Oreochromis niloticus: one gene and its partners. Each later gene encodes a partner of the first gene's protein in a complex. Links are inferred from orthologs where the notes say so. Each region holds a gene or a part of one and is shown in the gene's direction. Other genes may lie near its edges.

Region 1 (6,963 bases):
AAAACTCAAAACAGGTATCAAGGACAAACAGTAGGGACCGTGGCAGTTAGATCCTGGCTGATCCTTTCTCAGTGTTGGAGATAAGTAGGTAATTTTGCTTGTACTTGTCTAACTTTGGAAATGCACATGGCTGGATCATAAATGAATATTTGTTTTTCCAAAAAGGAGTTCAAATTGCACATGTATAAGCTGCACAGTATAGCCTGCCTATCTGTGTAACAGCTGTTTTTTGCGGTCATTTCTTTTGTCCTGTCTTCCTCCCCTCACCACCAACCGGCCCCTCCCTGAGCGTGGTTCTGCCAGCGGTTTCTTCCTGTTAAATATGAGTTTTTCCTTCCCACTGTCGCCAAGTGCTTGTTCATAGAGGGTCATCTGATTGTTGGGGCTTTCTCTGTATTATTGTAGGGTCTTTACATTACATTATAAAGCATCTTGAGGCGACTGTTGTTGTGATTTGGTGCTATACAAATAAAACTGAGCTGAATTGAATTTCTATATTCAAAGTATACCTCAAAGTACTTTTTCCATCCTTTATCATCCCTTCACTCATACGTACCTTTCCATCTCTATCCTTGAGCTCCCTAACCTGCTGCACATCCTTTCCAGCTCGATCTCTCTGCTTTCCTTCCTTAGTGTCCAGCCTCACATAGAACTCACTACAAGCCTTTTCCTTTGCCTCTTCTATTTTCTACACATAGTCCTGCCTACTTTCTCTATCAATCTGACAATCTAACTTTTCCTTAGCTAACCTCCTCTTTTAAATGCTGTCCTGTACTTCCTAATTCTGCTGCACTTACAGACAACATTACAGCCAGAAGGTGTTGGTTAACAGTGTTTATTAGAGCTTAAAAGTGAATAAATGCATAACACACACTTCAACAGAAAAGAACAACAAAGTGCTGGAGGAGTTCCCTCATCACCCGTGATTCACCTATGGCCCAGGAAGAACAGAGCTCCACCATCTGAACACAGCAGATGGTAAAGACTGAAAACCAAGTGACCAGAGGTACAGGCACCTGACCTATCAGAGCAGGCGCTCAGTAATGCCGACTCTGGCACAAGCAAAGAACATCTGGCATAAGAAGGATTAAGGCTGGGGTGAAAGAGAGAGCCACGGGGACACGGGACATGAGACTAACAATGAGATTGGCTCTCAAGAAGAAAAAATGGCTCGATGGAGTGGAGACAGAGGTGAGGAAAGGGCAAAATGGAGAGTTTTTAGGAGCATTAAAGCAATAAATCACACCAGAGTATCCCAACATAGGAAGCTCTGTATCCTTGCTGCGGCAATTTCCCCCTCAGCAGGAGGTTCATGCTATGTTGGCTACCGTACGGACCCCTTCCCTCCTTTGGCAACACACTCAGAAACACCCACACACACTGTCCACTCAGCACTCTAAGCAGATCCCACAGCCACATGCTACAGGGGATCTGTTTCATAACAGGACCCTTTGTCTCCCTCTCTCTGTCACACACACTCTGTGCGCAATGGAAGACGAGAAAACACACACACACATAGGCGCGGATGCCCTACCGTTCGGGGATGAGGGCAGGTGTGTTCAAGCTCCTCCATTATTCCCAAAGACTCATGGGATGCAGCTGTGGTCCCTCTGATATGTGACTCAGCATCAGTGGAACGATGCCTCTCCTCACCACTCTGTCTCCTTCCTCAGTTCCCCCGCCCACTCTCCGCTCTGCCTCTCTGTCTGTCCTCTCCTCATCATCTGATCCTCTCTGCTGCAGAGACGCAGACTCATGGCAGAGGCCTCACTCTGACTATTTTTTGGAATAAAAAATTCTGCCCGTTTTAATAGTAATTTAAAAAGCGTCAAGCGCCGTCTGTTAAATCACAGTTATATTCCCTTTAGTCTTGCGTCATATTAAAGCGTTAACATAAAAGACTTCTCCGAATTAAAAGGGTTTAACCATATTTGCTCAGGGGTGCCCCTTTAGGGTATACGGGGAAACACCAGAGCACTCTTCTTTTGACTGCTTGACTCTATGGTGAAATCCTCACATGGGAAAACATATTTGGCAAATAATCTGATTTTGATTTTCTACGATCTGTCTGTTTATTACTGTGTACTAACAAAGGAGCACAGATTCAACCCAAAACAGTGAGGAGATAAATTAAGAGATCACACTGACATCTTTTCACGAGCCGTGAGTGAATCTGTGTCTGCGTAAACGATCTCTGCGCGCTGAGGAGCTTTCTCCATGGCGACGGAAAAGAGGAGAGAGAGCTCCATGAGGTAGCCAATGAGAGAGGACCGCCAGTATACCCGGTGAGGATTGGTGGAGCAGGCCATAGCACCATCAGTGAAAAATGGCACTGAGTGGCACCGCTATCCGCCAAACGCTGATTTAAATAGAAGTATGTGGGTTTTCACGTGTCTAGTGTATGTGCTTATCTTTGTGTGAGATTTGTAAACAAACATGATTGTGGAAAAGAAGAAGCTAAAAAACTGTCCTGACTAGTTTAGTATCCCTCATTGTATAACTTAAGGTAAACCAAGCTCCTATAGAGTACAGCAGTGCATTTGACTGTAACAGGATCGTCGTATTTTAATATTTGGCGCATTTTCTTTAGGATTAGATTCCGACTACTCATAAAAGTTTACCCTCCAAGCTAACGGGCAACTTACCCCCGCGAGTCCTCAACAAAAAGAAGAAAAAAAAGTCAACAAATGGAATACGCATATAAACTGCGAATAAAGAAACAACTATTTTAATGTCTGTTTAGGGATGTCTTACCTTTAGAGATCCTCTTCTGCGACAAAAAGGCGCGACAGGTGCGCAAGAGGAATGCGCTCTGACGCGTCGTTGTTTCACCATGGTGGAACAAACAAAATATCACAATGAGGCTCACTTTTTCTCTGCTTTGCTCTTTATAAAGTGAGCGAGCTGCGCAGCGGCAGAAGTGCAGCAGAGCAACAACAAGCTGTTTGTCTACTCTGACCAAAGGACGCATCAGCTGTTCAGCGCTGATGAGCAGCGACAACTGTGGGCCATAGTCGATATAGCAGAGCTTACAGTAGACTTCCTCAGTTTTGTGCCTCAGCAAACGGCCTAATTCATGCAATCTGCAACTTCTTACCCTAATGAGAACAAGTTTAAAAAGCCTAATGTTGTAAAGACAAAAATAAGATGAATACTACAAAGAGCCTTTCTATAACCTGCAATATACTGTGCAGTCCACCGGAACTTGGCGAAGTAATCAGTCATTTAATGTATAGAAAGCCAAAATAAGCCGTGTGAATGGAGGACAAAACACGCTTTGTGTTTTCATTATTGGACGCACTGTGTCTCTGTGGCCCCAATCTGGGACAGGAATCTATTGTCCTCTCCATGGACCGGTTTGGTTGCTGTGGAAACCAGCTTCACTGGGGTAGCCAGGCTTTGAAAAACAGAGCAAAATAATGGCCCCAGTACTAAAAATCCCCGGATTTATAGAATGGTTTAAAAGATTTTTGTTGTTTTGTAAATATATATTGTTCTTGTTTTGTTTCTTTTAGCCAAATTGCGATGCGATTTTATTAACTCAAAAGAAATAAAAAGTCACTATAAACTCGTTTGAACCTCATACAATATTTATGCTAATATCACATAAATTGACTTTTTGAGACCAACTGACAAAATTTTGCTCAGAAACTTTCTCTGATTTATATTCTTATGATTGCATTTTAAACTTCTTTAAGTTACATAAACTTGGTTTCAGTGTAAATTCTGAAAACGGTCGAAATTGTGGATATATTTTAAGCGCATGTTCTGTATGCCACATCGCGCCAGACCTCAGTAATCACACACACATTTGCCTGCCAGATAAATATAATCCGGTGCACAGAGAAGAAGATACAGTGCAGCCCATAGGGAGAAATAATACTGCTATATTGTACAACACTGCCACCTTGTGGACAGAGGTGATATAGCGTGCCAGTTTATTGGTTGGGCGCTCTGTCGTCACTTCCGACATATGACTTTCCCCGGGAAGCCGATTTGGCGCGAGCTGTTCTGTTGTTGTGTTGACCTGCCATAACCGTACGAATAAATAAGACAAAACCACCACTTCTCGCCATGGCTCCAGTGTCAAACCCTGACAAAGACATGGACGCTCCGGACGGCGGTGAGTTTTGGGCCTCGCGCCTCTGTTTTTGCTGACTTTTGGCGACATTGCGGTGGGAAAGCAAAGAAGCTAGCTGACACGCTAGCTAGTTCAGATTATGTTAATACACCTGCTATCAGGCTTCGGTCATTAACACCCAAAGTGCCCACCGTTGTCTGCTTGCCAGCGTTTTACACTGTTAAATGAGTATTATTAAGGTTCAAGCAGGAGGACATGAAGGTAAATATAGGTAGCTAGCAGAAGAGCGCTGATGTGGAGGTCTGTTAACTCGCCACTAAAACCTTCTGTGGCGCTTCGAGAACGAGAAAAATCTATATAACGACCACCAGTAAGTCTTCAGACGTTTAAATTGAATGGTAAAAGAAACACAAGGGTCAGGTCGATCTGGTATATGCGTATTATATGTTTGAAGAAACGAGTCAAACGTCCTTCCTTATACTGCGTTGTCTTGAACCTCTCCTCAGACGATGGAAGTGAAGCCTGTGGTTTGGCGAAGACTCGCTCCAGACGGGAGAAACGGGAGAAGGTGGGGAGGAAGTCCGCACTGGAACAGCTCAAGAAGGCTAAGATGGGAGAGAAGATCAAATATGAGGTATGAAAGGCAGCCTTATCACTGGTTTCTGCTTCAAGGTGTGTGAAGAATATGTTAATTTGCATCAAACACCTGTTTTAACTCCTTCACTGTGACTTAATAAACAAAGCTGGTTAAGTATCTTCATACTTCCTTTTACAGCATCTGTTTTTCACTCATTAAAATGATTCATGCTGTTCTCTATCCTAGGATGCTGTATGCAGGTGTCATATCACAGTAGTACACCTGTGTTTTAACCAGTGTTGTGTTTTTCAGGTGAAGGAGTTCAGCAGTGTGTATGAGGAGGTGGATGAGGATGAGTACTCAAAGATGGTACGAGAGAGGCAAGAGGATGACTGGATTATTGATGACGGTTAGTGTCAGTCAGCCTGCTGTAGGAATATTTATACTGTGCCAACGTCACAATTGTTTTATTACCTCTTCTTTTTTCTTTCTTTTTTTTTGCCAGATGGAACAGGATACGTGGAGGATGGACGAGAAATTTTTGACGATGATTTGGATGATGATGTAGTAGAAGACAAAAGGGGTAAACACAAGGAGTTGATTACATTTTCTGGAGTAAGTTGTCCAGATCAGGTGCATGAATAGGTTTTGTTTGTTTTATCAGGAAAAGGAGGCGCCAAAGGAGGTGACTCAAAGAAGAATGTGAAGAAATCTGTCGTAGCCAAACCCAACAGCATTAAGAGCCTATTCATGAACAGCAACGTCAAGAGGCCTGCTGAGGTATGTGTTTGTTAGCATCTTTGATTTGCTTCTGTGAAAAATGCCCCATGCAGGTCTACATGTAAGGATTTCTGTGCCTGCATGGTGCTTTGGATATTCCAGTCAGTGTAAAGCTCAAAAACATCCAGCTTTTTTTTGTTTGTTTGTTTGTTTGTTTGTTTTTGTCCTTATGCATTTATCAGATGTTTTTGTACTCTTGTCTCTTACAGAAAGATGTTGATCTGTCCAAAGATGACCTGTTAGGGGATATCTTGCAGGACCTGCACTCTGAGGTTGGTAATTCTTCATTTAAAAATGTGACAGTAGTCTGTAGCAAGGCGTTTTCATCTATTAACCACACTTGAGATTACACATGCTGTTCTAAAACCTGCAGTCTTTTATTAGGTTTCTCTTCACGCCATTTTGACTTTTTTCCTGTTTGGGCATGATGACATATTCCCTTCTGCTTTTTCTTTTTCTTTTAAAGGCCGTAATTTCTTTCTATTGGTATCTTAGCCTTTGTTAATGTGGCTTTAAAATATGCTCCGTCTTTCCAGAAACCAGCTCTTCTGACTCCTCCACCTGTGGTGACTCTAAAGAAAAAGAAATCTGTGGGATCACCCATGAATCCCTTCTCTATCAAACCTCAGTTGCCAAAGGTAACTCAGCCCACCCTCCTAATCAAAGGATATTGATTATCTCTTTAGACAAATTTATAAAGTGGCTTACCTGAAATTATAATGAATCATCATCCCTTTGATAGCAGGACTCGCCCTCAGCAGCTGGGTTAAAGGCAAAAGTGATTCGAACGCCACCATCACAGTCTGCCCCCAGGTCATCAGTCCGCCCTCCCTCCTCCACATCTGCTTCTCCTATGGCAAAGCAGAAGGTAAAAGTGGAAAAACTGAATGAAGAAGACAAGAACGAAGAAGAAGGTAATGAAGATGGTTTCTAATCTTTTGCCCTTTTTTTGCTTTGTGAAAAGTTTATGCACTAACTTTACATTTTAACGTGTTCCTCAGTGAATGATGCCATGGCATTTGATGAGATGGACTTTGATGAACCGATGGAGGTTGGCCTCGAGGAGGAGGCACCTGTAGTGAAAGACGACGCGGAGTCTAAACCTGAAGTAGCAGCAGTGACTGCAGTCAAAGTTGAGGCCAAAGCTGAACCTCAGGACCCAGTCCTCATGTGAGTTTTTTATGCCTTTAGTCCAACCTCATCTTATTTCCCATAGTTGTAGTTCTATGGGTCGTGCTAAAATTGCTGTGTCTTCCAGTCTGGAGGAAACGAAGCAAGGACAAGGAAAATATAAAATGCATATAGCAAAGTTAACACGATGTTTACATAAGTCAGTTTAAATGCCCTTTAAACAGGTGTTTAGTCCTGTGCCATCTGTTCCTCCCGTGGTTTACCTGCACATGCCGGTGTTTCTAAAGGAATTCGAAAAGCTAAATGCGATGGCTGATTATTGCATGGGCTATTATGAAAATGACTGCAATTCAGTTCACTTCAATGGTTCACAAATCTGTCTGGGTCAAACGGC
Region 2 (7,978 bases), on another chromosome or scaffold:
GATGTCTTTGGACTGTCAGAGGAAACCAGAGTACCGAGAGAGAACCAACACAGTCACAGAAAAGCCCGAGCCAGCATGTGGATTCAAACCCAGGACCATCTCACTGAGAGGCCACAATGCTAACCACTGCACCACTGTGCTGTGGTTAATAAAATATTAAATAATAATAATTAATGTTAATTAAATAAAAGCTGAATATAATATGTGGCCTTTTTAAGTAAAATGTCTCAAATTTAGTCAAATTCATTTTTTTTAAAAAAAAGAGTAATTTCTGATTAAACCTAAAATGTGGGTACCAACAGGATTCCACATTGATCAGTATGCACTTACTGAAATATGTATTTAATATTGTAAAACAATTTTATACAGCTGAAGTTGTAGTTAGTTAACAGACCCTCTGCGACTTTGATTATAGACTATAACTGATAAATAAAGTAGAACATCTTTCAAATGATTATCTTACAGTATCTGCCTTTCCAGGAAGTCCACTCCAATTGTTTTTTTGTAGTCTTTAGTGAAAATGCCCTTGCAGTAACGTTGGATCATACTGGACTTGCCGACAGCTCCATTGCCGACCACGACCACTTTGATGGCCACTTCCATGTCCTCCTCCAACATGGTGGTGACGTCTGGCTGATTTTCTCAGTTCCACTGTGCCTGTGTTGTTTCAGAGCTGTGACGGGAGCACATGTACCAGCTGAAAGTGTAAAATAAAATATTAGATACTACAAAAAAAAAAAAGAAAAAGCCACACAAACACTGGACAAGTGCAACTCAAATGTGGTTTATATATGAATCACTCACTTCAGAGACAGTTATCAGTTGAACAAATATGATGAAAACCAACTTTGTTACTGAGTTTATAAGTTACTTATAAATGCTGTTAAAGTGCAACTGACGATCAAGCAAATTAGCAGAGGCGCAACTAACTGCTACTTATTTTTAATACTAATCAAACTTATTTTCAGTTTGATATGTCAATATACTGTTACAAATGTAGTTGTCCAAGCCTAAAAAAATGTTTTACAATACATTTTTATAGCCAACAGTCACAACTCAACTTTTATAGGCATAATAATATAATTATCATATTCGCCAGCACCACAAGCACTTCATTGCACTCTAATACACGGTGTCACATACACAACGTCTGTAATTAGCTTTTAAACTGTTATGGGTGCACATTTTACTAACTGTTGTAAAACAAATTTTCAGCTTGACTGGAGAGGTGGTTCACTATGTTTATTGTTCCATTAGTGCAGAAAACTGCAGACTCCGCATAGCAACCGGGTCCCCACAGCTATATATGTGGAGTGGCTGAGTGCTACGCTAAACAACATATTGTGGGAAAGCTGTTCTCAGTGGACACTGACAGCCTACTGCGTGACTGTAGTGTTCAACAGCCTGCCTGAATTTGAGTCACAATATGTATCTGTAATTGAGCCGAATGACACATCAGTTGGTATAACATGAAGGCAAAACACAGCTGAAAATAGAATAGTATGCTCTTCTTTTAATGTAAACTTTTGGATTATTTTAAAGTCTTGACTTTGCATTTCACTTTAGTTGAGTAAAGACCTCGTCTTCCTTTCAAGCAGCTAGTCCTCTCATATTCAAGTGTAGTCGGTTCTGGAGTTGTAGTTTAAATGTGTTTTATCATCACAGAAACTGTCAAACTGGGAGGTTCAGAAGCTGATTATGCATTGTTTATTTATTACTACTATAGGTTTAGAACAACATGATTCAGATTTAGATAAATGATGATGATTTGCTTTAACAGTATTTGAAAATGAGATCTGAATATGAGATCTTCATGCGAGCGTTTCCGCAGGTCCTTCCTCCCTGCAGCTGTCAGACTGTACAATCAAAACTGCTCCCAACAAACATAGAGGTTTACATCAGCGCTGTAACTTGCACTATTTTATCAACCGATTCACACTATAACCTCTTATCTGTATTTAATTTTATTTAATTTAATAACGGTACAGTACTCTGTTTTTGGTAAAAATTGTCCTTGATGTAAATATGTAAAAATTGTGTATGTTTCTGTTCTGTGTCTTGTGCACTGTTTGTTTGTATGTGTGTCTTTCTTGATGCTGTTACACCCAAATTTCCCCTTGTGGGACAATTAAAGGATTATTCTATTCTATTCTAATAATTGTGCTCTTAGTATCAATAACAGTGTGGGGCAATCTTTTAGCACTGTGGTCATGTCTTATCCCCCACATTTCTGAAATGAATCACAACTCTCCTTGGGTGATCTCAATAGGTCATGTTAGGGCAAGGCCTCACAGAGATTTCATTCTTAGCCCCCACTGATGGTAATGTGAGTGACCCAAGTTGGGGGTTTTTTACGTCTTGGCTCATGTGGTGACTCACATTATCAATACTGGGTAAGGATCACTGCCAAAGGGTACCCCCCCAGGGTAAATACTTGTGACTTTCCACCATTTGTTTTTTTAAGGGAAAAAGACTCTTGAAAGAAGTCCAGCTGCTTTCTTTTTTCAAGCTCTAAAGAAGTGACTGGAAGGTGCAGTCGAACACTTCAAGACAGGTATCAGCTACACATATTTAAACACAATATTCTCCATACCTGCACAAACAACTGTCCTGAGTAAATTCTGGGTTTTCAGATCAGTATTACCCCCCCCACACAAATGTGATAACACCGAATCTGAAATATACAGGCCTACTGCATTTTTTATATAACATGGTAGGAGAGTATGCTTTGCATTGCTATGCACATAGTACTGAATTCTGCTCAGTATGAAGCAGATAATACACCCCCCTTGCTAGACAGTGAGTCATCTTCATAGACTTACCGTTACTTGCCCAGGCCTCAAGGCGGGGCACCACAATTTTTTAAAGCACAGACTGAATAACACAGATCAAAACGCCATGACACCCAACTAAGCTATTCAACTCTGTCGAAGACTTTTGCTATATGTAATACGTTCATAGTCTCTGATGGGAATTAAGTTAGAAGTTAACTTCTCACTCCTCTTCTTCACTCAAATCCCTTGCCTTGGTCAAGATAAGACCTGTTGAATTGCTGAAAGGAGGCTCCCCTTGAAGTACAGAGCAGCTCCTGAGGTAGTGCGTTAAAGCTGGGTGAAATAAACGGTGAAGAAATGATGGGAAAGCATGCCAAAGAAGCGTGCAGTTTCTTACCTGTAAAACGACGCTACAACTCATCCAATGACATTAGGCGAGTTATGCAGTCAGCTAACCCACATCCACATATCTACAGCCTCCCGCCGCTCTTCTCCGTGGCAAGAGGAGACGCAAGAGACTCCGGTGCTAAGGCTGCCTAGCTAAGATTAGCCACTTTTCACAGAAGAAAGACAACCTTCTGCTCCGTTCGCTAACGTCTTCTTCCCTGTCTAGCGCAAAAACGTTCTCTCCTAAACGAAAGATGCCGTTTATTGACTGTCAACACCTGAGGTCACTCTCATGACATTTATAGGATGGATATCCATTGCTGCCTATTTCAGTGAGCTACGTTGCGCGTGAGAGCTAGCCAGGCAGTTGGCTAGCTCGCTAGTGTTTGTTGCTAAGCAGCAGAGCCAAAGAATGCACAAAGCAAGAGAGTCGGCGTGAACGCGCCTCTGTCCTCGGGAGTCTTGGGAACACTTGTAGTTCTCATATGTTAGCCCTAAAAGTCACGACTGTTTAAAAGTTGAATTATTGTCATTATCGCACATGTTTTTACCCCGCTTTGATATTATTTTATTCACAGCTATTATATATGTCTTATAAGCGTGCTTTATGTGGCCATATCACAACAACCAGGAAAAAAGCGTGTGAAAATTACTCACAACCGGATTAAAAAGTGCATTTTACTTTCAGGTATGTGAAGTAAAATGCATGTTATAAAGCAGAAACACGGAAATGTGTTAAAAGGGAGTACATTTAATTTCCACTACAGTTGCTCCCTTTCTGAATATGTGTCATTAATGTGAAACTTTCAAATAGTTAGTTAAATAACTTTAAATAACTGCAGCTTCATTTTTTTAAAAGGCAGAAAACACCTAACCGTCTGCTGAGAAAATTGTAGTAATGGTTGATGTCAGTTAAAAACGTAACGACGTTTTGGTTTTGTATAGGTTCATTTTACTGTATGCATATGAAACTTACCAAAAATGACCAGAAGTTGGGTTAGAATTTTTTTGTTTGTTTATTGAGTTAGCCACAAAATAAACTAAAATGTCTCTATAATATAACATGACCATTTACCAATTTCTCTAAATACAAAACTTTTGTACGTCAAACCACAATATTTTGGATTACATACACTGGAAAAATAAATGCGAAATGTCTGATCTATTTCGACCACAGAAATCACAGTTATAAATGACATGGAATTTAAACCTTTCCAGAAAGTGCTTTACAGAATATATTCTGTTTATTTTAAAACTAACATTCTTGTGTCAAACATGCGGTGTTTCATTCATTCCTGCATATACACCCGTATATCCATATGCAGTGTCTGTGTGAAGAGAAGTTTATATGCTAAGGACGTGCCAGTAATCCTTATTTGTGGATATTTGCTGATCTGATAGGTAAACTGTCTGTGGAGTAGTGATATTTCAGAAGAAAATCAGTCCAACCAACCTTATCAAATGGGCATTTGGAAAATGAAATGGGTTTCTGAATGATTTATTTTTAATATCTGGGTTTAATTTTAAAACTGTTATTAATCGTTTGAAAAACAAAGATTTTCTGTATTTGAAGATAAGAAGAACCCGCGTTTTATTGGGGCGTTTGTTATGTAATACACATGGGCCCGTGAGTTTGTGTTGGATTTGGTTCAAACGCCAAAAAAACAGAAATGGAAACATAGTGTGAAATGACAAATTTGGGTAATATCCTTTTAAAAGAAACTTTTTGCTTGAGTTTTCATGGAGGTCATCGTTATTTTGAGAGACGGGACGGGCTGTGCTGAAAAGTAAAACGAGTACACACCACTTCACAACTTTCGTTCTCTTCCGGTGTCGGATGCAACGTCATATTTTTAACCCGCGTTTGTTGAACAGCCCACTTTGTTTGGCGGGACTGCGTTATTAGGACTCTAAAACCGTCATCTAATCGGTAATGTAACGACAGTATTATATCCTGAACCGTGAAATAAGTTTCTCGGGCTGTGTTCGAGCTCGGTCTTTTCAACGCAGTTTAAACTCAAATTTGATACCTAGCAAACGTCAAATTTGGAGTTTTTCTCCCTACCATTAACTTCTTGCTATGGGCTCTATTGTTAACATAAGCTAAATAGTCTCAGTTAGCGGCTACATTTAGCCTCGAACGTAAAAATTGAGTTTATGAGAACGACAGTTACTGACTGCTGAGCCAGTGTAACATAACAAACCAACTAGCTTCACCCTGTCAGTTCAGTTTGTCTGTAGAGGCTAATTTCTAGCTGTCAGAAACATTTCGACTCTTTTCTTTAATCCCTAATTGAGCGACTGTGATGAAGATTAGTCAAGGAGAAACTCCGTTTGCCAAGTTTTGCTTTAAGTTATACCGGGTGCCACTTCTGCACAGACTGGTTAATGGTTAATAGCAGATGCCTGCAGCAATTCGTTTGTTCTGATTTTGTATAGCAGCATCCTTTACTGTGTCAAATCAAAGGCCAATGAATTTCTTAATGTTTGTTAGTCATAAGCGTTTAAAAGGTCGCTCGGGTCTTCTCCACAATAGTGTGTTTTATTTATTCAACTCCTAGTAAAGAGAAAATGGCAAAATCACGCGTTATGCATTTTGAAATGAGAACAGCTTATTTAATTGTCATGAATTTGTATTGAAGGTCGCTTTGGTAAATGGCTCACTGCATCAGATATGGCAGGTTTGGGACCCAGCTTGTTACCAAGTGGTACATGAAAACATACATGATTTCTCTTAACATCAGGCACTATGCAGTTTGGAGGCAGAAGAAAGAAGAATAGCATTAACCCTCAGTCGGAGCTCTATGGGCAGCACCTGCAGTTTTATGGACAGCCTCCTCTTGAAAACATCTCTCTCTCTGAATTTGAAACATTTGCTGTGGAACGACTGAAGTGTAAGATTTGTCTCATACTAGTGAAATTCAAATGATGAAAATTACTGTAAGCATTGTTTTCTCTGCTCTTGTGAAATACATTTTATTTAGGACATGTGGTTACTAATGTCTGTTGCCACTGTAGTGTTGAAGACTGTGGAGAATTTGGGAGTGAGCCATGTCAAGCTTACAGACCTGTATATAAGCAAACTTGAGAAAGAGCTTAAAGCTCTGAACTTTCCTTACAGACCAGATGCTGTGAGTATGTTTCCCATTATGCAACTTTAAAGAGTATTAGTGAGTCCGTTATTGCATTATGTTTTCAACAACTTCAGCTAAAGCTTTATCACAAAGAGATTTCTTTTTAAACTTCTACCTGTTACGTGTTTTAATGAAAACACAGGGTTTGGATTTGGTTAGGGTCCTGTAATATCGCACTGCACTTCATGGTGCTTGTGATCCCCTTAAAATGGCAGTGAGACGTATCTAATAAACTGTCATAGCTTTTAGAGTAAGGCCAGTGTATAGCTCAATGTGTATTAACACAGTGTTGACTTTGATGCCCTAGAACTTAAGCTTGCGCAGGATCCATCAAATTCTCTTTGCAATAGTGATGAAATAGCATGATTTAGCAATAAAATGTATTTGTATTAGTAAAGAAGAGACACTGCTGGGTGTTGCAGAAAACGTGACTCATTTACTAACATTTTAAGACCCTATGCTGAATTACAAGAGCCTGAGATAATGGAAGTTAGTGTACAGCTACCGTAAAAATGACTTTTAGTATGTGATCATTTTTTCATATATGTACATAAAATAAAAAACTGTACAACATGACAAGAAGTGGTGAGTGATGATTAGATGATTGACATCTATTTGTCTTTCAAATTACCTAATTGTTTTCTAACCCTTAAGGATGACAAGAAATCTCAAAGTGGACCAACTGAATATGAAAAACGAAGAAAAGACCATATCTCCCACTTCATTCTCAGACTGGCCTACTGCCAAACGTAAGTCTTTAGTCTCCATTTAGGAATACTGAAAGATGTGGTCAGAATAGAAGTTGTTCAGCTGCAAAAGATAAATGTTTATTTCCATTTGTCTCTCAAAGGGAAGATCTGAGGCGCTGGTTTATACAACAGGAAGTTGATCTTTTCCGCTTCCGTTTTAATGACTTGGACCCAAAACAACAACTGGAATTTCTTCACAAGAATAATCTCCGCTATGACACAGTAAGCTTTCCTAAAGAAAACACTTGGCACATTTCAAAAACAGGTTTGTTCTGGAAATTATAGTTGAGGAGGCTTACCACCAAAAAAAATTCCAACTGGAAACTTGAAATTTGTGTCTTCTTGTGATTGTGACTTATTCAGAAACACACAATTTGTCTTTTTTTATATCACCTTCAAGCTTTTTTTTTTTTTTTTTTACTTAGCTACAGTGAGTTTCTCTGGGAAAATTATATTCTTCTCTCCCATCATTTCAGCCTGAGAGTTTTAATTAATTAATTAATTTAAAAAAAAAAAAAAACAGTCATCAGTCCAGTGGAAACACTTTGGAAAGCTGCTTCTCTTCCAGCTGCCTCCTTGGACCTCAAACACTATTACTTATTTTTCTACAGCTTTTCTCCTTATTTCTTGCCTAGAGGTGCAGGCTTCTCTCTAAGAACAATCACTATTTTCTCTGCTTCCCTGAAAGTAAATATGTTTCCTTATATGAAAAAAATTGGGGCGGGGCAGATAGTATGCAAATTGTAAGGCGAGTCTATGGGACTGTTGGTTCCGAACAGCTATGATTTACTATTGTATGCATCGTGGTAAGATCAAAATAAATAATAATAATCCTAAATCTGGTGGTAATTTTGAGTGGGAAGAAATTTGCGGAGTAAGACCTTTTCCACATAGATATTAATAAATGAGGCTGATTGTCCTGTTGCATGACCAG
Region 3 (7,116 bases), on another chromosome or scaffold:
TTTGGGTGATTGTTTTTTTTTGTTGTAACAATCTTGACTTGAGTATGTGGGCTGTGCCCATGAAAAATCTTCTCTGTCAAGGCAAGACATCTTATTTTGCTTTAACTCACTTAACCTGGTTCTGCCAAAGGTTTTTCCTTCTCATTGTCACCAAGTGCTTGCTCACAGGGAGACGTCTGATTGTTGGAGTTTCTCTGTATTATTAGGGTCTTTACCTTACGATAAAAAGCGTCTTGAGGTAACTGCTGTTGGGATTTAACACTAGATGTATTGAATTGAATTGAATTGAATTTTGGTGTCATTTATTGGATTGGTTGATTAATGTCTGAAGAAACAAGACATTGGCAATTTAACAATTGATTCATTTAAACAACAGAGACCAGCATCTTATTCTCTGACCAACACTCTCACATTGGCTGACTTGCAACAAATGCTGGTTGAAGAATGAGATGCCATCCCACAGCAGTGTGTAGCCAAGCTGTTGACCAGCATGTGGAAGGAGATGCGCCAGGCTATTGTAGGTGTGAATGGTTCTTTCACATCCTACTGAGTCCTCTGTTTGCTAAATTAATAAATTATTAAATTTCCAATATGACTCTATGTCCAATCATCCAGGTAAGGAAATCCCCCCCAAAAAAGATTCTGGATGAAGTGTTTTCAGTGGGAGAAATGTTTCGTCACTCATCCAAGTGACTTCTTCTGTCTTAGCTGACTGCAGGTTTCCTGAACTTCGTAAATAGTACATTTGCATAATGACTGACACTAGCACCACTGACTGACAATGGGCCATGAGGTCAGTTTCGTGGTCATTAATTTGCCAGTTGTCATGACCATTGATCAATGACCATTCCAATATGTCTTGTCTTTTTATGCTTAAATCATCATATCATGTTTGGCTTAGCAGTCTATAAAAGGCGTCAGGTGATACAATGTTTCACCTGTTACCAGTCATTTTAGTTGGTTTTATTGTGTTTGGTGTAATTTTACCTTTTTTGGGGGGGGGGACGCGTCTCAAGCTTCCTGCCTTAATTGAGTCGGTAGAAGCCATTCTCATGTTAACACCGGTATATGTAAAAATACATAAACATATGTATGCAGACACAAGTAGACCAGGATTAGAAGCAAGACAAGCAAGCAGTGGAATCCAAAAATGAAAACAATTAGCTCTCATACCTCCTTTGGTAAGGTTACTGTATCTTTGGACATACATTTTTGTGTCACTCCAGACTGGTTTTAGGGTTTCTATTAGCCTATTTCACCAGGTTTTCCTGATGAAAGGCAACATTGGCACACTTTGGCGATCTAAAGACACAGTGACTTTTCAACCATGAACTATGACTCCTCATGTACAACAAACACAATGACTTATGGTGCTGGCCAGTGGGCTCCGTGGACACCTGAAAGCAGTCTGACCTACATTCATCAGCTGAAAATTGTATCTTCTCCCCATGTTTTACCTTATCTAACTTGCCCCACTGACATTTAGCATTGAGCGTGCGGCTGTGACTGGTAGCTATGTGTTACAGTACGTATCTACATGCATGATGAGCCACTGGAGAGCTTAAATAGCAACAACAACTCACAGAAATGATTGATATTAGAAACTCCTGAATGTAAATATGCATTAATTATATACTCTAATATACAGTAGAATTGCGGATCAAAGCAACAGAAGGCATTAATCCCAAATCTGATTCAAGTGATTTCTAGAAATTGATTCAAAAGGGGGAAAAATGCATCGCATCCAATATGCCTTGCAGTGAATAAAATTTGCATAATTCAAGTAAGATGAGGTTGAGAGCTCTTGCATTATGCAAATCAGGGTATGAGTGGTATATTAGCATAAAGTGCAATCATAAAAGGAAATGTATTGGCATTACTTGTCTATCAGTTGCTCTTGAGTGTGGCACAGTTCACTGAAGCTGGTTCATTACCATCAATCTAGAGTGTAGGTATTACACATGTTACTGTAGTTGGCTCGCTCAGCATTTACATGTGTGTGTGAAAGTGGAGAGGAAGATTAAATTTAGTGCATATGAAGATGTTTTCCCTTGAAATATTGCCTGTATATTAGAAGCTACAAGTTACTGTTATGTCTTCAGTGGGGAAGGATGATTTTGAAGGTTTGTTGTTTGGTCTGAAATAAAAACAGAGTGTCAGAGATGAATAGAGATTCAAGTCTGGGGATGAGACGGAATGAATAATATTACAGAGCCAGACATATTTAAAGTACAACACTGCAAATAGAGAGTGTTGTTTCACATTAGAAGTACAACAGCTGACAAGGGCTCTTGTGGCTGCACACCTCTCAACCTTCACTGTGAGCAGCACCACTTCAGTCAGGAGGTGTTTGATGCACCACAGTGAAAGCTGTAACACTAATAGTGCAGCAACCCAGACTGATGGGCAGGACAGAAAGAGGCTCCATGCCTGACACTTTTTGTCTTGAAAGCGCATGTGGCCTTTTCAAATGTCAAAGCAAAGGGTGGATGTGACTGAAGAGTAAAAATGGCATGAATCAATCAATCAACCCAAAAAAGAGCTGAAATAAGCTGCTGTTTGTCCTTGTTTAGCTCATTTGGATCTCGTATTTGGCACCATTTCGTCCATGCTTCACTGAAAACTGTGGAAGTGTCCTCTCCTCTTTCCTGAGTGTTTACTGCTCATACCAAAGATGCAAGAAACAGAATAACTGAGTGTTTTAGTACAACTGATCTGCCAGGATGATGAAAACTACTAAAAGAAAACAAATTTCCTGAAATGTGGATTAATGTGGGAAATTTCAAATTATTGTTATGAGACTGTACTGCCCTCTAGGGGTGTACAATTCAATTTTTCCAGCTTAGGAAAAATTGAATTGATAGTATTATATTTCTTCTCTTTTCCAATCCACTTCACTCTTTCAATCAACATTTTTTATTGAATACCTGAGGATGAAGTAAATTTAAAGAAGGCTTGAAGATAAAGAAACCTTTGATGAGGCATCTCTCTATTACCCTTCTTTGTCTTTTCTTATTCTTCCTTGATGGAGGATACATTAGCCAGTTTCCCCCCCATTTTTGTTTGTTTGCTTTCAGTTTCTAATTAGTTTACGGAGAAATGTTGTTTTGTCCTATGGCCCATCATGTGGCATCTCAGACTCCGGTCTTTTTGTTTCCTTTGCTCAGGCCCCCAGACCCTTGTAGTTCATTTATATTTACGTTACTCTAAAAACACTCAAATAAACACTTGATCATCACTGTATAAACCAAAGAAACTTCAGGGATATCACTCTGTCCGTTTAAGAAGCATAAACCATCATGGAACATTTGTATCAAAGCTGGGTCTCCCAACATCCACTGAAGGATGCAAGGGCCTGATGCCATGCCACACAGCAAACCTTTCAGCCTGTCTGCATGTTCTAACCTGGAAGAGCGTGTCACATGTGTGACCTGAATGGGCTGCAGATACCATCTCATGCTACTGGTAGTATCAAGGACACAAGCAAAAAGCAAAAAATGGAGGAGGGATGAAGTGAGAGCAATGGTTGGATGGATTTATAATAATATAGTAATTTATTCATTCATTCATTGTTAATTTATTTCAAACATGTAAACAATATACATGTTTGAAATAAATTAACAAGTAACTAAGTAAAGAAAATAAGAGAGACAAAAATACTATACAAAAGTCAATACATTTCAATATTGCTACCGTTCTGAGTAATTTATGGAGCTACTTTACCAAAAACCACTGTATTGTATTATATTCTGTGCTCTTTGTGTTTTGTTTTCAGGTTTACTTATTGAGCTACTTTATTTTTTAAATAATTAATTTATAATGTTTACCACAGCGTCTTTATTTTGTCATATTGTACTTTATAGTTGTTGCTGCCAAACGACTACATGTCCCATGAGCCTCTCTTCACTGGCGTCACGTCCGCCTTTTTTAAGCTTCTAGGACTAATATTACAAGGTTAACTAAAACCAGAAGGGAAAAAAAGAAAGCCATTGTCAATGTTATAGTAACGTTTCGATGCAGTAATAGTTTAAAAAAATCTCATTACCCTGGATGATTTTGCCTTCGTTGATTTTTTTATAGCCTAAAAGAGAAACGGCTGCCTTGCAACTTCCTGGTTGTGGTGATGTCACTGACCTAAACTTGTGTCATTGGTTTGGTCTGTTGCTTGAGAGTTTTCCCGCGCTACCCTCGGCGTAAAACAACACAGTGAGCTGTCACGGTGTAGCTAGCGGCTTAGCAATATTTTACCGTATCTTTACATCCACAGCTAATTTTAGCTATCAAATAATGCCATCATCAGACTATGATCCAGCTTCTCTGCCGGACCTATTACCGCTGTACTACCGGCGGCTCTTCCCATTCTCCCAGTATTACCGCTGGCTGAGCTACGGAGGAGGTGAGTACACAGGCATGGAAACCTAGCATAAATAAGCTAAATAACTGGGGGTGTTGATCTGTGTTGTGTTATATAGGAAGCTAACGTGTTTTGTTAGGCACTAAAATGGTAGAATTATTCTGGATTTGACTTTCTTCCAAATTAGTAAGTCATCCTATACAGCCATTCTAGCTTCATGTTAATCCCTCTACTTTCATCAGTAAAGATTAAAATGATTTTGTATTAATGCATCCTACGAACACTGTAGTAATGCTGTTGTTTAACAGGGATGCTGAAATTCTGGTCAGTTACCAGTGTTTAGAATAGTGTTTAAAATAGGTCAGTAGCCAGTAATGAAACAAATGTTTGATTTGTTTGAATTGTTTTGCTGTTCTTCAGCACGTTATCATTTATCCAGCATAAACATTGCATTAGACACTCAGTTCATCTGCAGATAAATGTGAGCACTCTCTTCTTGACCTCTGTTGTGCACCAGCCATTATTGTAACTGCAGATGTATAAATATATCCACCTTTACTACCACTCCTTGCAGCTTCACTGTTACACCTGTCTCCCTCTCATTCACAGACATTTATTTTGTATTACGTCTACTGACTTTCATTCCTCATTTCAGAATGGATGGTTGCAGTACTGTAACATATGCTTATAAATGAAACTGTAAAAGTGCCGTTGACAGTAAAGACAGGATCCACTGCTCTGTGATGCTGACATGTATAACTATTAAGAGTTAGACAGAGAGTTAAAAATGCCCAAATACAGGACTAATGTGTGTGTCTTGTTGAATTTTTTTGTTTCTTTGTTTTTCTTGTACAATCTCAGTGCAGAAAAACTACTTTCAAAATCGCGAGTTCTCGTTTACCCTGAAAGATGACATCTATGTACGCTACCAGTCGTTCAGCACGCAGAATGAGCTGGAGAAGGAAATGCAGAAGATGAACCCCTACAAGATCGACGTGGGAGCAGTGTACAGCCACAGGGTAATTTTCCACACCTTACAGAGTTTGTGCATCACGGCAGACATATGTATGGAGTATGTTTGTCACTCTTTGTTGCCCACAGCCAAGTCAACACAACACTGTGAAGTCGGGGACCTTCCAGGCTCTGGAGAAAGAGCTTGTGTTTGATATTGATATGACAGATTATGATGACGTCCGAAGCTGCTGCAGGTAGGTTAATTATGTATTTATTTCCTGTCGCAATCGCGGAATATCCTGACCGTTTCATCGCCCACATAACACTTTAAAACTGTCATTTTAGTGCTGCTGACATCTGCTCCAAGTGCTGGACCTTAATGACCATCGCCATCCATATCCTGGATAGAGCTCTTCGAGGTTTGGTCATCACAGATTCAGTGCCAGGTGACAGCTTGTGTGGATTTTTGTTGAAATTCTCATCAAGCATGTGTTGGTTTTTGTGTTACTTCCAGATGACTTTGGTTTCCAGCACCGTCTGTGGGTTTATTCTGGCAGAAGAGGAGTACATTGTTGGGTGTGTGATGAAGCTGCCCGGAAACTCTCTGTAGCAGCGCGCTCTGCTGTGACAGAATACCTCAGCCTGGTCAAGGTACGAGTACTTCAACTTTTAATAGAAGTCCTTTGTAAGTACTTTCTACTTCCTAACTTAATCAATTAAAGTTTTTTGTTTCTTTTTTTTATAAACTTTAATTAACAGATGTTATTGGATATAACCACAGTTAACAGGTTGGGATTGCTAAAACATAATTTGAATGTATAACGCAGTTAGAGAAAAGTCAGTCTATTGATGCATTGCACATAAACCACCAAACGCTACTTGTCCTGCCAGACTACTATAATAAGATGTTGAACTATTATTATTATAATTAGAACAAAGTGTCGCACGTACATTACAATGTGCTTCATGTGGATTCATAGAACAGACCACACAACAGCTAGAACAGCATGCGATAGATAGACATGGAGTACAAATATTAAGACTCTTAAAACAAAATTAAAAGAGCATTTATTAAAACTTAAAAAAGATAAAACAAACTAATACCAGGGTTTGTATGGGTACTTGAAATCCTCGAAAATGCTTGAATTTTAATATTGTCTTTTCAAGGTTTGAAAAGTGCTTGAATTTCAGATGTGGTGCTTAAAAGTGCTTGAAACTGTATTTCATTCACCACAAATAACTATCTGACCGAATAGTTTTCTTATCAGATAGAGAAAGAAAATGAGTCGCAAAGTCTAAAAGCAAAATTTCTCCACCTGGGCTGCCAAGCACCTCTGCATGTCAGTCTGTTTCAATGTGTGACCCCGCCCCTCCCCCGGACAGTTGGGGATGAGTGCACTAACATGCCTGGAAATTGCCGTTTTAAGTGTTTGATGGAAATGACAATGGCAGAGTTTGCGCTCTCGAGTCACATGATAGGTGAGTCCTAGTAATTAATTTTTGAGAATGTGTACATATGTGTACAATGTGTACGTGCACATTTTTAAAACTATTATTATTTTGCTAGCTATCAAACTTGCTGGAGAAATGATTGAAATGCACTGAGTGTGATGTAGTACGGCAGCGCTATTATAGCAGTTAGTTATGGCATCGCATGGTGATTTATAGAATATGCTGTGAATTTGGCTAACATTACTTAGCAGTAGCAGTAATGTGAGTTACTTCACTCAAGTAAAAGCTTTAAACGTTAGTCCGATACTTAACTAGCCAACTTAAGGCTTAAGGAAATAATGGTAATAAGAGGGACT
Region 4 (7,812 bases), on another chromosome or scaffold:
TGGATTTGTTACCTTTGTTGAAGAAAACTCATTTCAACCACCTGCGTGGGTTTATGAGAGAATGAGCCCAAGCCTGAGGCTGCTAATTAAGACTTTTATGGACCTCATAAGGCCGACATTTGAATGGGAGAGGCAAAACCAAACGGAACAATGGACGCAGAACAGAAAACATAAACAAAAGCATTAAGCACTAAAAGAAAATGGACTACAGAATTTACTTTCTGTCACAACACAGTGGTTTTCCCTGCACTCTAAAAACCTGCCTCATGAGAATGGGGTTCATCTGCAACTAATTTGCACTTGAAATTTATTTCCAATACAAGATTTAGTGCTCCAGTCGCACCACAAAATATTCTCATAGCAGCGATTTCAGTTGTGGAGAAAGGGTTTGACCTAACTGTCTGTTTCCCATGAATAACTGTGCTTTATTACAGTAATATACTTAAAAGGTTTTTTCCTTTTTTTTTCAGAAGTATTTACATAATTTTTCATGCTAATAGCTTTTGGGATGAGCAGTGTTTCATTTTCGTTTCATTGATATTGTCACAGTGACAGTGTAGAAAGCATGTGGAATGTGAACTGTGCGCAACGTGCAGACTGAATGTTTGACTTGATGACAGTGCTAGATAAAAAGACAGGACAACCAGAGTTCCTACAAATCTATCATCTTGAGAACAGGACCTGTTTTGTTGCAAAATATTCAGCAGTTGAGAAGACACATCCACAAGACTGCCAGTGCCATGCACAAAAAAGTCTGTCCCATCAGAGTTACCAAAACCTTTTAGAGCAATCCGTCAAGTTTTTCGGGTTTAAATTTGGACCAAACTGATGGACATAGAGGCAGCAGCATTATAGTTTTCCAACATGTATTTTGCAAATTAGTTGTATATGGCATATTTGAATAGTTTATAAGATCATTTGAATTACAGAGTAGTAGTCTTGTAAATATTATATGGTTTCTCCTGTCAATGAGTACCTAACAAGCAGGACGCTCTTCTCTAAAAAAGACCAAACTATCTTCTTGCGTCCAGACAGCAGTCTAGTAAAATGAGCCTAATTTAAGTCTTTATTAACCATTTAGTCATTTAGATTTTATTTTAAGTAGTAGCAGCAGGTATTTAAAGCCTTACCCTAAAGAGAGCTATCAAAAAGAAACACATCAGTCTGGAAGCTACATTTTAAAAAGACTTAACGGTCACTGTTTTGCACACAGAGCAGACTGGAGCAGTTTGATTAAACGCACTCATGTAGTGATAACAGTCAAAATACGGCCCTTTTATCAGAAACTGCTCTTTCACAATAAGTGTTTCCCCCTTTGTATACAATAAATCATAACTACAAACAAAACCGACAGTCTGTATTAATCAGCAATACCCTGCCCATTCACATTCACACAGTGAAACCTGAAAACACCCCGTAATCCATCCTGCTTCACGCTGTCTCTGACCATCTTCCATCATCATTTATTTTATTTAAGAAGTTTGATTTGGCATGAAAAGAGACACGTTTGACATGTTATTTTTTAATGCTGACATAAAAGGCTGCAATAAATAAATAAATGCCCTTACAATTATCTGCCCAACCCAGAGGTGTGTCTTTAATTGCCAGCATGTTAGATACATGTCATGCTGGTTGTAACCCATGTGTGGCTTCATGCAAACACTCTGTTTTCTTCTTAAAATTCTTATCTCAAGTAACTCCCACTGTATCCATCTTATTATTTTCTTTACTTTGGCATAAATGTTTCAACATCCCCTGCAGATCTTGTGTATAGCGGCGGTACTGTGTACACAGTAGAGAAAGACAGCTGGGATGATCCAGAGCAGGAATCAAGTCTTCCCACAGTGCAGCAGAGTCTCCTGCTTTTCTTCTTCTTACAGCATAGTGACCCCTTCACCTCCCAGCTCACTGATCTTATGGGTGAGGAACCGCAGCAGCATGTACAGTCACAAAACCCTACACTGTAGGCAGCCTTTCTTTCAGTTTTCCAATGCAAACATGCAAATTGTTGATCATTCAGCCACCGAGGTGTTGATAGAGCTCCACCTGGAGGACATTCTGAACAACAACAGGCAGGCCGTCGTAGCAGCCGTGCAGACTGAGCTGAAGAACACACTGAAATCGCAAAATCACAGAAAAAAGGCATGACAAACACATACACGCACATGCACAAGCACACTAAGTATCCTACTTCTTTTACTTAGAGTTTTTAGTCCTCTAATGATAACTATTACAGTCCATTAACAGAAAATGAATCAGCAACAATTTTGATCATTGACATCTTTTCTCTCTTTTCACTCACTATGGATTGAATTGGTTATGCAATTAAGCACAACCCTATACTCAGGTAGATTGTGATGGTTGTTTTATATTCATTTCTAACACTTATCGGCACCAGAAAAAAGTAATTGTGTATGTTTGTGTGTGTCCTTAAGCAACAAGAAAAGCTGCACGCAGCTGCTGAGGTGATTCTCAGTTCGTCCATGAGCATCGTGAGCAGCAGCAGTAGCATGGACTTCAGAAATGCCTGTCTGAACCGCATGAAGGTGTGGAAAAACTGCCTGTCTCATGGTGTGATGCAGAAACTGAATACTGTATTCAGAGGCGTTGACAACTTGTTAGGTTTGTGTTTGTCAGGTACATGATACACATGAGTTGGCAGCCTCCCTCCGTGAATCACTGTGGAGAGTGACATCATGGAAATTCGTTCCCAGGGCCAAGTGCTTTTCTACTAAGGTGAGTGAGACGCTTGCTTTCCGCCAGCACCACCCAATTCCTATAGCAGCTCCTCATTACCACTGTACCTCTTACACTGAACCACAATCTGATGCAATGTCATTGTTTTAACAGATGGAAGTACATCCTGTACACGATGAGCCCACCACAGCAGAAATCTGAGAATCTCTGTGTTTATCTTAAGAGTTCTGTTATGGTTAAATGCTGCGGAGGCGGCAGAAGAGGGTTTGAATGTGTTTAAAAAATTTAAAGTGCACCAGTTGTGCTGCCAAAAGCAACATCTGTTTAATCCATAATTTTAAAAGCACAGTTGTTGTTATAGCTTGGTTGCACCAGTTTATTTTTGTAATAATATTCCAAGGCTCAAATTGATCTCAGTTTTTCTTATCAATGTTATACCCATAGAAAAACGTCTGTAGCATATATCTATTTAGGATGTGAGGTGACATCACGTAGTGCTGGAGTACCAAATATACATTATTTGAGTGAAACACAGGGGTTTAACAGGAAGGTTTAGTGGGCTATTACAAGTTTAAAGTCAGAGTTTTCAGTGTGATAAAAGTGCCTCTCTTTTTACCTACATCACCATGGTAACCTGGAAAAAAAGCCCTAAAATCAGAGGCAGTGATACCTTTGTATTTGTCACAGATAGCCAGAAGAATGCCCACCGGATCTTTAATGAGTATCTGTTGTTGAGATATCTCCCTAAACTGACAAGATTGGACCCTGAAAAAGCCCCAGTTCAGATACTCATCCGTGAAACATTGGCATTCATCACCAAGAACTGTGCAATCAATATAATCAATTTCACTTTGATCTGGTGGCAAACAAAAGTGATTTTCACATCTTTTGGCTATGTTCCAGTAAGTTTGAATATTTAAAATTTGTAAAATGTAAAGTTTCAGAGCTCTAACATGCATCCATCCTATTAGAAATAAACAACAGCATTAAAATAATTAACTGGAGTTCAAATGTTTATTTTACCACTTTGTGTGCTAAATGCAAGATTAACAATTATCTGCTGAATTAATTTCCTGTCTTATTTCTAATAGTTTTGCATTTTACTGTTGTATTCTTTAAAGAATTTGGTCACTATATTATCATTATCTTATATCATTTCTGATTGGAGTAGGTGGCACTCATAGGGATCATTTTATGCAGAAGAAGAGTCATATGAACAACTAAACAGGTAATACAATTTGGAATATTATCTAAATTTAGAAAAACAAGACGTTAACGATCATATAATTAAGTTAAGGATATAAATCGGTAAGGATGCAATTTTTCGCATTCTTATCTGATTTATGCAGTTGTTTACAGTGCAGTTGTTTCTAGAGTGCAAACGAGTTTTGATAGATATAAAAACAGACAATAGGAGTTATTGCAAGAATGAGTCTGTTTTGCGTAACCTGTTATTGTGTATCGTAACAAGTTCCTAATGTGTGCATGGACAAAAAATGTTAGTGTGTAGCAGTGATTGTGAGTGTGACAGGTCTGGGAAGAAGCCGTTTCCCAGCCTTGTTGTTTTGGCACTGATGCTGCACTTTGTGAGGTGAGGGGGTAAAAAGTCCATGGGTTTAAAGAGTCCTTTTTGATACTGGTAGCCCTGCTGATGTAGATATCTTTAATCAATGACAGGCTGCTGCTGCTGATCTTCTGCAAGGACACAATTGTCCACTCCAGAGACTTCCTGCCAGCAGCAGAGCAGTATCAGTAACACACACTGCACACCTATAAAAAGATCTGAGAATTGTGGTACCCAGACCAGTGCTATCCAATAGTTAAACTGTACACATATGTTATCCAGTGATTCCCAAACTATGGAGCAGATAACCAGATGATTAAATAAGTATAAATAGATAAGAGTTAGTTGCCATTTGTCTGACCATTATTCAGATAGAATTCGTGCGTCCTTTGTTTTTAATTGTTGATTGGATGAACTGTGGGGCATTTGCGTTTTTCTGCTTCTGAAGTGGGACACTGCTAAAGTTTGAAACAACCAAGTTACCAGGACAGGCTTTTATTTTTGTGGGACCGCCAACTTCCGTTTATTATTGTTACGAATGTGACGCATATTCCGGCCGCCAACACGAACAGCGCTTTTTCGCGGTAAAATGAAACAGGCATCAGGTCGACCATTATTATTTCGTTTGTACTGTCTAACAGCTAACCGCCTGTAGGTAGTATTTAGAAGCCGTGTAGTTAAAAAAAAAAAAAACTAGGGTCAGCGGCATTGTCGCGAAGTAAGAGTAAAGCTAACGTTAGCAGCTATCATCACAACATTGGAGCTTTTCACGTTTTCCACAACGTAATAACTGTATATCATAAAACCATGTCGCTAGTAACTACAGAGAGCTTAAAGGCTGAGCTGGAAATATTCGATATACCCTATCAGGATGATTCCGTCCTCGACAAAAGTAAGTTGCTAACTAAGATGACCGTTTTTCTCATATGGATTGAGGCTTTACACAGGAGAGTGTGCTAGCAAAGAAGCTAAGTGTATTATCACTGTAATCATCGAGGACTCTACCATACGCAGGATAGCAGTAATGTAGTGTTGTGACATGTAGTTTAAGCTGTTGTCATCAGTCATAATATTTATATACCGATGTCAATGCGCTTTTGTTAGTTAAAGCTTTTAACTAAAATAGCATTTTTCTTCTTGATAACTTACTTTCACAAGTCAAGTAAATTAGAAATCAGCTTTTTTTTGTTTTGATTTCATTGATACGTCTTTTATATTTACTAAGCCATTTTTAAAGATCAAGAACAGTAATTATTCACTGCAAGTTGTGTCCCACAAAATTAATTCACACTGTACTTGCTTCTAGTATTTTCTCAGACACTCAGATTAAATCCTTGGTTGTTTTCCCTCATATATCCTCCATTCAGTGGTGGAGCAGTGTATTTGTAACAGACTGCAGACATCCGAGATACTGCATGAGTGGGTTGCCTATAGCGCCACAAAACAAGGGGTGAAGCTCACCATGGACACTCTGGAGCAGTTTGAACATGAGGTAACAGGACCACAGATTTTAACATGCATTACAAATTACTTATTAAATATGCAACAATGTAGTCATTCTCTACTCCTTATAAATGCAGCATGTTTGTCATCTTGCAGGTTTTGAACAAGAAGAGCAAATCCAGAAAAACCTCCCGGAAGGAAGAAGCATCCAGTAGAATGAGAGACATTAGCAGGATGGATGATTTGTATCCTTCACACTGATGCTTCAGCGTAAAGACCCGTCCATCTGCACTGTGTGGAGTCATGTGTTTTCTTTGATTTGTGTCTGCTAATGTTGCTGTTGAGTCATAGACTTTGACAAAATGAATCAGAATAAAAGCTGAGGAAGAGGAGGAGGATCTCTTAGATTCTTACTCTACTCCTGCTAAGGTAACCAAACACTTCTTGCTTGTCAGCAGCAGAGCATTATCTAATCTGAACAAAAGAAATACATTTTCATAACTTTAAAAAAAAAGTGTATCCATTTATGTTTTGGGTTTTTTTGTTGATATTCCTTTAAAAGCTAAGATAAGCTAGATGTGACTCGTGGGTCTCCCGCAGAGTAAGTTTGAGTCTATGTAGACAGACAAGATCCTGACTGTGTTTGTTCCTGTCGGTACAGGGCTCTCAGAAACGACCTCTGACGACACCAGAGCATCCTCGTTCAAAGAGAACTGCAGCTCCGATGGCCAGCCCGAGCATACTGCTGTCTCCAGCCAGCTTCTCTCCCAAGTACTCTCCACCCCATGCTGCTCTGATTTTTTTTGAAAACATGAAAATTATGCTCTCTGGTTGTGTTAAAGTTAAAAAAGAAAGCTTTATTTTTGTCACTAGTAACTTTTTTAAAGATAAACTTTTGTATTTGCATCACTGTCACTTTAAGTGACCTCCCCTTCTCTCTTTGGAAGTGCGACACCCTCACAGAAGTACAGCCAGCGGGGAGGAAAGGGGGAGGTGGTGGTCACATTTGGGGCTGTGCAGGGCACCCGTTGGGTGGGCAGGAAAGACCCAGGTGCAGGCGTCCAAGTTGAGATATTGGAAGGACCGGAAGATTCCCTTAACAGCAGCTACAAATACATGTTCCAGAGGCTGCGAGATGTTCGAAACGGTACATAGTTGCACACACTTGATTAAAGATTTCCTGTATGTTTGAGTGTAAAATCACTAAATGAATATACTCCAGAACCTTTGGATAATATTTTTTTTTTCCTGGGTCTTTCCCAGTGTTGACAGAGAAGATTGAGGAGCTAGGAGAAGGACTCAGGACTCACTTCAGCATTGAGGAGTTCTCCCCCGTCTCTCTGCCTGCCCAGGTACAGAAGAGATGACACCTTCAGAAAACTTTTAAATTAAAGATTCATCCCCACTGCTTAAACAATAAATTATTAAATAATAGTAGGTTGCGATAAAATGTTACGTTACATCACTGAATTCTTTTTCCTCTTAAAATCATATATATTGAAGAGTAAAATCAAACCTGCTTAAGTCTGTTAAATGTATTTGTTTGATTAAAAGTTAACTTCTTTCTTGGGTTTGCGTCTTCTTCCCTGCAGGACAGTATAACTGTGCTAGGACAGATTTGCTGTGACAGTAACGGCAAACTGAATGCACAGTCGGTTCTGCTAGAGGCCGGACCAGAACAAGGCGGTCAGCAAGTACCTGTTGACCTATCGGAGCTTAAAGAGTATTCTCTTTTTCCTGGTCAGGTGAGCTGAAGAAAATATCTTACTTTGACAGATGAAACTAGAAATGGGTACGCTGATGAGGTCCTTCCTAATGACCAGTCGGTGGTTTCTCCTTTGCCTGTGCACTGAGCTTATGTGCAGCAGGTTATATGGCCACCAAGAGTAACAGAGCATGCCAAGGACATGGGCTTGAGACTGACCCAGTGTCTGACCGAGAGCTCTGACAGTTTTTCCTCTCATAAAAATAAACTTTCAGAATTATAGGAAACCTTTTATCAGCAGAAGCATGTAGCTTTATGTTTTTGCAGCTCTTTCCAACAAACCCACATGTAAGAAAACATTTATCTAAATGCTTCTATTCTGTTTTTTTAGGTGGTGGTGATG

What was found.
Region 2: the proteins of pola1 (region 1) and prim2 are in contact, whole or in part, in a cryo-EM structure (PDB 8G9F), measured with the Xenopus laevis proteins. The link is inferred for Oreochromis niloticus from reciprocal best matches to the Homo sapiens genes POLA1 and PRIM2. Residues at the interface, in NP_001082055.1 of Xenopus laevis: Leu842, Lys853, Ile894, Pro895, Glu896, Leu971, His974, Arg977, Glu978, Leu981, His982, Glu985, Gln988, Lys989, Asn991, Glu993, Asn1007, Asn1009, Arg1101, Asp1102, Glu1106, Gln1109, Glu1221, Asp1224, Gly1225, Asp1227, Ala1229, Leu1230, Met1233, Trp1234; in XP_018121015.1 of Xenopus laevis: Pro34, Pro35, Thr36, Glu37, Asn38, Ile39, Ser40, Leu41, Ile42, Phe44, Glu45, Ile49, Ile107, Phe110, Ile111, Leu114, Cys117, Gln118, Ser119, Glu120, Asp121, Arg123, Ala240, Arg241, Leu243, Val245, Val246, Gln247, Arg251, Leu252.
Region 3: the proteins of pola1 (region 1) and prim1 are in contact, whole or in part, in a cryo-EM structure (PDB 7OPL), measured with the Homo sapiens proteins. The link is inferred for Oreochromis niloticus from reciprocal best matches to the Homo sapiens genes POLA1 and PRIM1. Residues at the interface, in NP_058633.2 of Homo sapiens: Tyr439, Ala440, Pro447, Glu448, Lys449, Ser450, Phe876, Thr877, Thr878, Gln880, Leu906; in NP_000937.1 of Homo sapiens: Asn92, Thr93, Val94, Lys95, Leu96, Gly97, Ala98.
Region 4: the proteins of pola1 (region 1) and pola2 are in contact, whole or in part, in a cryo-EM structure (PDB 8G99), measured with the Xenopus laevis proteins. The link is inferred for Oreochromis niloticus from reciprocal best matches to the Homo sapiens genes POLA1 and POLA2. Residues at the interface, in NP_001082055.1 of Xenopus laevis: Gln548, Lys551, His553, Gln554, Asn555, Phe642, Glu645, Val646, Gln649, Asn652, Leu673, Gly675, Arg676, Phe679, Lys1137, Asp1141, Pro1143, Asp1144, Ile1321, Gln1322, His1324, Asn1325, Lys1326, Leu1328, Leu1329, Arg1332, Ile1335, Lys1336, Tyr1338, Tyr1339; in XP_018112289.1 of Xenopus laevis: Met280, Tyr281, Lys282, Phe283, Met284, Phe285, Gln286, Lys287, Leu288, Met289, Ile291, Arg292, Val295, Ser296, Ile299, Glu314, Thr316, Leu320, Pro321, Gln323, Glu324, Thr325, Val326, Gln331, Gly333, Cys334, Asp335, Ser336, Asn337, Gly338.

What each region holds. Positions count from the first base shown.
Region 1 is NC_031974.2:21,298,640-21,305,602, forward strand, and holds the start of pola1 (DNA polymerase alpha catalytic subunit), read left to right. Parts: upstream 1-3,955; 5' UTR 3,956-4,074; coding exon 4,075-4,123; intron 4,124-4,587; coding exon 4,588-4,715; intron 4,716-4,970; coding exon 4,971-5,067; intron 5,068-5,163; coding exon 5,164-5,241; intron 5,242-5,322; coding exon 5,323-5,438; intron 5,439-5,647; coding exon 5,648-5,710; intron 5,711-5,974; coding exon 5,975-6,076; intron 6,077-6,180; coding exon 6,181-6,352; intron 6,353-6,439; coding exon 6,440-6,608; intron 6,609-6,963. Other genes in the region: pcyt1ba (choline-phosphate cytidylyltransferase B), read right to left, coding at 2,755-2,835. UniProt on the Homo sapiens protein: Catalytic subunit of the DNA polymerase alpha complex (also known as the alpha DNA polymerase-primase complex) which plays an essential role in the initiation of DNA synthesis.
Region 2 is NC_031978.2:20,005,051-20,013,028, forward strand, and holds the start of prim2 (DNA primase large subunit), read left to right. Parts: upstream 1-4,965; 5' UTR 4,966-5,091; intron 5,092-5,905; 5' UTR 5,906-5,910; coding exon 5,911-6,055; intron 6,056-6,179; coding exon 6,180-6,292; intron 6,293-6,949; coding exon 6,950-7,044; intron 7,045-7,145; coding exon 7,146-7,266; intron 7,267-7,978. Other genes in the region: rab23 (ras-related protein Rab-23), read right to left, coding at 464-618. UniProt on the Homo sapiens protein: Regulatory subunit of the DNA primase complex and component of the DNA polymerase alpha complex (also known as the alpha DNA polymerase-primase complex) which play an essential role in the initiation of DNA synthesis.
Region 3 is NC_031984.2:12,818,710-12,825,825, forward strand, and holds the start of prim1 (DNA primase small subunit), read left to right. Parts: upstream 1-4,105; 5' UTR 4,106-4,287; coding exon 4,288-4,396; intron 4,397-5,215; coding exon 5,216-5,373; intron 5,374-5,455; coding exon 5,456-5,562; intron 5,563-5,653; coding exon 5,654-5,727; intron 5,728-5,822; coding exon 5,823-5,959; intron 5,960-7,116. UniProt on the Homo sapiens protein: Catalytic subunit of the DNA primase complex and component of the DNA polymerase alpha complex (also known as the alpha DNA polymerase-primase complex - primosome/replisome) which play an essential role in the initiation of DNA synthesis.
Region 4 is NC_031966.2:21,173,907-21,181,718, reverse strand, and holds the start of pola2 (DNA polymerase alpha subunit B), read left to right. Parts: upstream 1-4,802; 5' UTR 4,803-5,068; coding exon 5,069-5,153; intron 5,154-5,628; coding exon 5,629-5,753; intron 5,754-5,860; coding exon 5,861-5,949; intron 5,950-6,075; coding exon 6,076-6,133; intron 6,134-6,365; coding exon 6,366-6,475; intron 6,476-6,651; coding exon 6,652-6,851; intron 6,852-6,967; coding exon 6,968-7,056; intron 7,057-7,296; coding exon 7,297-7,449; intron 7,450-7,800; coding exon 7,801-7,812. Other genes in the region: top6bl (type 2 DNA topoisomerase 6 subunit B-like), read left to right, coding at 1,762-1,920, 2,021-2,142, 2,436-2,546, 2,623-2,736, 2,851-2,898. UniProt on the Homo sapiens protein: Accessory subunit of the DNA polymerase alpha complex (also known as the alpha DNA polymerase-primase complex) which plays an essential role in the initiation of DNA synthesis.